2 linked regions of the Coturnix japonica genome follow. The protein of the gene in region 2 purifies or fractionates together with the protein of the main gene of each other region. This does not show direct contact. Links are inferred from orthologs where the notes say so. Each region holds a gene or a part of one and is shown on either strand. Other genes may lie near its edges.

The links.
Region 1: the proteins of STYX (region 2) and FBXW7 purify together in Homo sapiens (affinity purification with western blotting; 4 studies listed by BioGRID and IntAct, with this or other methods). This does not show direct contact. The link is inferred for Coturnix japonica from reciprocal best matches to the Homo sapiens genes STYX and FBXW7.

The regions. Positions count from the first base shown.
Region 1 is NC_029519.1:29,734,104-29,737,622, forward strand, and holds part of FBXW7 (F-box/WD repeat-containing protein 7), read right to left. Parts: intron 2,507-3,519; coding exon 2,281-2,506; intron 1-2,280. UniProt on the Homo sapiens protein: Substrate recognition component of a SCF (SKP1-CUL1-F-box protein) E3 ubiquitin-protein ligase complex which mediates the ubiquitination and subsequent proteasomal degradation of target proteins.
Region 2 is NC_029520.1:52,842,216-52,845,734, reverse strand, and holds part of STYX (serine/threonine/tyrosine-interacting protein), read right to left. Parts: intron 2,310-3,519; coding exon 2,273-2,309; intron 1,721-2,272; coding exon 1,681-1,720; intron 1,590-1,680; coding exon 1,539-1,589; intron 942-1,538; coding exon 869-941; intron 1-868. UniProt on the Homo sapiens protein: Catalytically inactive phosphatase. Acts as a nuclear anchor for MAPK1/MAPK3 (ERK1/ERK2). Modulates cell-fate decisions and cell migration by spatiotemporal regulation of MAPK1/MAPK3 (ERK1/ERK2).

The DNA.
Region 1 (3,519 bases), on a different chromosome or scaffold from region 2:
ACATAAGGGTAAAACTGCAGCCTGGGATAGCCAGAGCAAACTAGCACTACTTGTCCATGTGGGCTTGCTGGTATCTAGTAACAAGAGAAGAAAGAACCCGGCTATCCGACTGCTTCTTTTTGTAAAACCTCTTGCATCTTAGAACACCTCAGATCTCTACCTGCAGTCATGGCTGAGTGACACTTTGGTTCAGAAGATTTAGAGAGCAACTGGCACGTGCAGCCTGCTGACTGGAATACATTGCAGTTCCAGTGAAAATACACTAAAAAAACACACACTCTGGTATCCAAAATAGGGATATGCTACACAATATACATAAAGTAACTTCTCCATTACAGCAGGCATTGCTAAGACTTTGACTAGAATTTTGCATCCTGTTTTCTGCACTATGCTTTCAAAAAAGCATGTGAACTAATTTGACTTTGGATAAATGGATCAGGAATGGTGAGCAGCCAGCACACTTGCTGCAAGGAACACTACAGAATGTTTTTCTTTCCTAAGCTGGACTTAAAGAAAGACTGATGCAAAAAAGAAAAAACACAAAAAAAAAAACCTCCTCTCTCCTGTCATTTACCTGTATTCTACTTGCATAAAGTATTCAGAAAGAAAGCCTTAAGGCTGAGTGTAAAGACAAACTACTTCAATATTGCTGCAGTTAAACAGACAGTGGTTCAGATCAGTGGCTGTACTGTGTTTTCTGAGGGTCCTGACAATCTGTGGACTATGACAAAGGCAACTGAGAAAGGTGACTAAGAAAAGGCAACCGGATTAGTACTCTTAAACTGTGGCATTAAAGATCTCTAACAATTGTCTGGGGGGGTCGCAAATGGGGAAATACTGAAACGTAAGAGAATTCACAATGGGGCAGGAGTGGGGAAGACAGGCACACTGTTCAGCCTCATTATTCTACTCATGGGCTGTTTCAGCAGGAGCTTACCTTTCAATTTCAACAAACTTGAAAGTCCTAAAGCTCTAAGCACCTGTAGCCTTCTGCCTCTCCAAGTTCCACTTACAAGCTATAAATACTACCAGCATGATCAACATAACCCAATTACTTGACCCTCTACTACTCCATTAGTAGAGTAAGACACTTATATTTGCCAACTGGAACAAGAGCCACCAGTGAAGATAACGTGCACTGTTCTCAAACTGCTGCAGATAAAACCATAATATGAGGTAGGTGGTGCAGCATTTTTAACCTGTTTGCTGCTTGTCTCAAATACTCCGCAGCCCATGAACGAAGGAGAAGGGATGGTGATTTTTGATAAATTTTGCTATACATTTTAAAATAGAAAACCATTTGATCTATTATGGTGAAAAGCACCTTTTGATGATAACATTTATTAAAAACGTCTGCAGCTTCATTTTCTGTGCCACCAACCAGACTAGTTACACGCTGAATGCAGTTTCCCAGCTGGGAGCTGAATTTGTTGTTTATTTCTTTTTTGAGTTCTGCCAGACTGCAGTGAGAACAGGCACATGCATGACATTAATTTTGTTCTCCTTTCAGTGCCTGGAAATGATGTTCAGTGAATGAACAAGATATCTTTTGGAATAGTAAAGGTAAGAAGAGTTGACATGAGGTCTGTGTATGACTTTGCCAGCATAACTGTGGTGAAGTCAGGCAAGAGGTAAACTGGCCATGCCGTACACTGGTACCAAGAATGATCTGCATCTACAGCAACATGTCTCTGCAGACAAAGCCTCAGAACTGTAGATGCAGCCTTTGCTCAGAACCAATAAAACAAATACTTAAGTCAGGGCATTAAGTTTTAGGTTCATCCTTACTATGAATTACAGTTTGGAACTAGAGGATGTGACTACAAAATAAGGATGAACAGATTTGCTTAATTCAGAACATTAATCCAATGGGGTTTCTGGCACATTTTCAAATACTGTATTAGCTAATGTATTTAAATAGTAACATTAGAACTTCTTTTGGGGAAACCAATACAACATTTAAAAAACGCCTAACAAACAATCCCAAGCTCTAGAAAAGTACATAACTTGCCAGGACAGAGATTTGGGCTTTATTGTATTATGGACTTTAAAAGTACTCTTTAAAAAAAAAAACAAAAAACAAAAAACAAAAAAAAAACAAAAAACCCACAGCCTCTAAATTAAAGCAACATACGACGAAGATGAAAAAATGGAAAAGGGGAATATGACCTAAGCCCCAGTATTTTCATGGTCTGTATAATTCTGGAGCAAGGATTTGCAGTTTATTAAAGAAGGTAAAATACACCATGTTCATATAAGCAGCAGATGAAAATCACTTACCTGTAATGAATAGACTCTGTTAGTATGCCCTTGCAGCGTGTGCAGACAGGTCTCGGTCTCTGGATCCCACACTTTGACCATAAAATCATATGCACCACTTACAACCCTTCTTCCGTCATACTGAACGCATCGAACTGCAGCTACGTGGCCCATCAGAACATGTAAACACTGGCCCGTCTCTATGTCCCAAACTCTCAGTGTAGCATCTCGAGAACCACTGACCACTCTGGAGGAACAAAAAAAACCCCTCCTATATTTAGCGTTGGAAATAAGAGCATTAAAACAATGAGATAGTTATAAATCAGTTACAAGTTTTCATCTGGAACACTAGATAGCATTTGTCCGCTAGCCACCGAAGATCTGGTTTGACACAACAGTTCATCAGGGTTGCAAATGACTTGAGTGCATTTCTTCCTTGCTCTGCTTGTCTCTCCAGGATCCATTTGATATAATTAGCAATCTATTTAAAAAGCACTTCAGTCATGAACAGCAAAATGATGCCACGAGAAACTATGTGGACCATTGTATCCATCCATGAAAGCTTATGAATATGCCGAGTTCAAATTAGCACTTTGAGCATCCTGCTTAAATGACTGAATTAACTAATTATAACAATTAAAGAAGATCCTTCTTTAGAAGTTATACTTTTAGCAAAGGAATGATTATTCTGCTTGTTTGCTTTTTTTTTCAGTTTATACTTTTAAAAGCCTTTTTAGGCAAGCACAATTTTAAAAGTGAGAAGGAATTAATATTAATGGCACAGATAAAGAAAAACCTCAGCATTCTTCAAAAAAGAGAAATGTAACCAACAGGCACTCTGACAACAGCACCGTGCCACAGCCAAGTAACTCTGCCAATGTTCCTTGAACCAAGACATGAATTTCTACCGCAGAAATGATGATACAGTAAGTTAAAATGTTGATAAAGAACCGCACCAACAATACTAAAGTCACTCTGCAGAGAGAGTAAAAGTCTGTAACGTACAAAAAGCTAAGAATAAATTATTTGCTGTGGTAGACTGGATCGGGTTGTAATGAAGAATGAGTTTTAGAATAAGGTAAAAGACAGCTTTATAAAGTTCCTGACTCTCTTAGTTTTCTGTTCTTTAATTAATATCCATATGCCTTTGCTTCAGTTAATAATCTCCTCCCTTAGTCAACTGGCATACTTTAGTTTGGATGCTCCGCCTGTTTTGTATTTCACTCAGTGTCTGATCAGACACCCCAATTTAACAAGTGT
Region 2 (3,519 bases):
ACAGGAAATGGCTTTAAGAAAGAGATTTCCATGATACTGAAAATGTGGTTTCAGACCTGAGAACTTCATTATCTATGAACGTAAGCATCAAGAATAAACACAGATGTGTGCCACAATACCCACTTGGCACTTTCCTTGGCCACCAACTAAGCTGTTTAAAGAGCCTTTAACCACTGTGCACAAAACTGTTTTCATTTCTCTTCCATTCCTAGATTTGCTTTGTCTAAAGTTTACATCTAATTAACTAAGATACCAGTTCATCTTCTTCCCCAGGTCAGCTATAGATTCCTGACATTCACTCAAATAACCATTTTGACAGGAAAATTAAGCCTAAGTAGAAAAGTTGGTTTTGTAGCAAGATGACTCAACAACTGAGTTTTGAGATGTGATAAGAAAAACAAAATCATAGACTGCACTGGGTTGCAAAAGCCCACAATGATCACCCTGTTCCAACCCCCTGCTGTGTGCAGGGTCACCAACCAGCAGCCCAGGCTGCCCAGAGCCACATCCAGCCTGGCCTTGAATGCCTGCAGGGATGGGGCATCCACAGCCTCCTTGGGCAACCTGTTCCNAGCCACATCCAGCCTGGCCTTGAATGCCTGCAGGGATGGGGCATCCACAGCCTCCTTGGGCAACCTGTTCCAGTGCGTCACCACCCTCTGGGGGAAAAACTTCCTCCTCAGATCCAGCCTGAACCTTCCCTGTCTCAGTTTCAAACCATTCCCCCTTGTCCTATCACTGCCACCCTCACAAACAGCCATTCCCCCTCCTGTTTATACGTTCCCTTCAAGTACTGCAGGGCCACAATGAGGTCTCCCTGCAGCTTTCTCCAAGTTATGCAAGCCCAGAAATAAGAACAAAGCATCACCTGAAGTTGGTGGACAAATCCAGCATTAGGATTAATACAGAACCTTCTTTCTTGAACGTAAGTAAACGCATCCCTTAACAAGAGAAAGAGACAAAAAACACTTCAGTGGAAAACAGACTGTAACAGATCTGTGGGGCTTCAGGAGTTCAGGTTATCAGTTCTGGGAAGCACGCAGCCTTCTCACAACTGCTTTGCTTAACTGAACTTTTCTGTGCAGAACAGAAGGCAGTAGCTGTAACACACTCTCTGCCCACCCCAATCTCCAGCCTTCTACTTGCTGGCCTGTTTTCAACATGCAGCTTGAAACATGTCTTGTAACAGCCTCTTGGGGTCCCTCTTACAGAGTGTGACAGCAAGGCACCAGTCTGTGGGCTGCCATTAGCAAAAGGTGCCTGCTTCTTCATGGAAGGGTGAAAGCAAATATTCAGGGGAAAGAAATGGAATCGTCTTCCCCATGTGAAAGCCTTCACCCAGCCTCAGGGGCAACAAGTGGTTTATACGGCAATACAGGACTGTGCATTCCCCCCAAATTTATTATCCATTTCAATTCACGTGACTTGAATTAAAACCATTACATCTACAGATATACCAGACTGCTTCTCTGCTCTTAAGTACCCTCTTACTTCTGCCTTATTGGACAGATCATGGACTACACAAACTCTGCTCTTACCTGTACTTCACCCCGAATGTTTCCATGATGTATGCAATAACTAAGGCAGCACTGAAACAAAAACAAAAACACATTTCTCAAAGTCACTAAAATAGATTCCAGTGGTGTAAAATGAGAACGAGCAGGATGGATGTTCTCCTACCTTCTAGAAATCCCTGCGTTTCCATGGACAAGAACTTTTCCTGAGGAAGAAAAAAAAGCCAAAAAGGCTCTTGTAAAAATGGAAGGAAGTTCTTTGAGATGCAGTTTTAAGTTGTTATGAGCAATTAAACATCAGCAAGGCACAACCTAAGAATAACAAGAGCGTGTTACGCTTCACTCTGTTACTGGCTACACTCCGTGCATCATAGAATCATAAGGTTGGAAAGGACATACAAGATCATGTAATCTAACCATCACTACTGCGGGACACAGAAACGTGGATTCCCACCCTCTGAGGACTGTGAGTAACAGCATCAGCATTCTAGGACCACAATGCAGATTTAAGCTCTCCATTAGAGAGCACACATGAGTCTCAAATGAAGGAGGGATGTATGAAGAGGTTTGTTTTCCCGTTGAAAGCAAAAGGGAAAAACAGCTGACTCTGGATGTGTGTAATCCAGTTCAAGTCAAACAAAATTAACCCCCCCACATTTAAGAAAGCCTCATATTTAAGAGCATCTATCACACACATCTGCTTTAAAGCTTTAAGAGCAATGTACTGGTCAATGAAGGGAAAAGTCAATCTGATTTACCTCCACTTTGTAAACTTCCATCAATAAATTCTTTAGTCTGAAAAGAGAGAAAAAAAAACCACCATCAAAAGACTGGAACTTTGGGATTTTTTACAAAGTTTCCTACTGTTTGCATTTACATTTGGCAGACATTTTTGTCTTGGTCTTTACACATAGTAACAGTCACCCACTTCATTTATGCAGGCTTAGACTCCACTTCAGCTGAACATCTTGATTTGTACTGCAGCTTCTCCTCACCCATAAAACAGTCAGGGATACGCAGCACAGCACGTCAGGGCACTGTGATACAAAGCACCTTTCAGACGTCTTTGGTTGATACTTGTAGGTAAAGGAGAAACCACAAGCATCAACACCAGCACGGCCCAGATCGCAAGACTGATATCTGTGTCTTTCTAAGGTTCCCCAATGATATTTTCAATTACAAAAGGAGGTCTAAGCAATCTAATAAGGCATGACATGATCTAGTGAGGTCTGTAGAATAGTACCAGGTTGAAACAGTTCACTGGATGAGCAGCAAAAGCTGGATTATTTATTGTGGGGAAGATTCCAAGCAGCAGTAAAGCACAGAATCATGCAATGATTTGGATTCCAAGGGACCTCAAGGACCATGTAGCTCCAACCCCCGGCTATAAGCAGGGACACCTCCCTCTAGACCAGGCTGCTCACAGCCCCATCCAACCTGGCCTTGAACACCTCCAGGGATGGACGGGGCATCCACAGCCTCTCTGGGCAGCTGTTCCAGCACCTCACCACTCTCACAGTAAACAACTTCCCCCTGACATCCAACCTCAATCTGCCCTCCTTCAACTCCAAACCATTTCCCCTTGTCCTGCTGTTATCTGCCCTTTCACAGAGCTGACTCCCCTCCTGTCTGTAGGCTCCCTTCAGGTCCTGGCAGGCTGCACTGAGGTCACCCCGCAGCCTTCTCTTCATGCTGAACAAGCCCAGCTCCCTCAGCCTGTCTTTTTAGGGAAGGTGCTGCAGCCTCTGAGCATCTTTGTGGCTCCTCTGGACCCTCTCCAACATCTCCCTGCCTTTCTTGTATTGGGGCTCCAGACCTGGACACAGCACTGCAGATGGGGCCTCAAGAGGGCAGAGCAGAGAGGGACAATCACCTCCTGCCCCTGCTGGCCACCCCTCTGCTGATGGAGCCCAGGATACCAGTTTCCTTTAGGAGAAAGTTTTCCAAAATAACTATGATTCCCCCATGAACTGTCTTCTTTCGGGACAATCTCTTACAGCTCTTG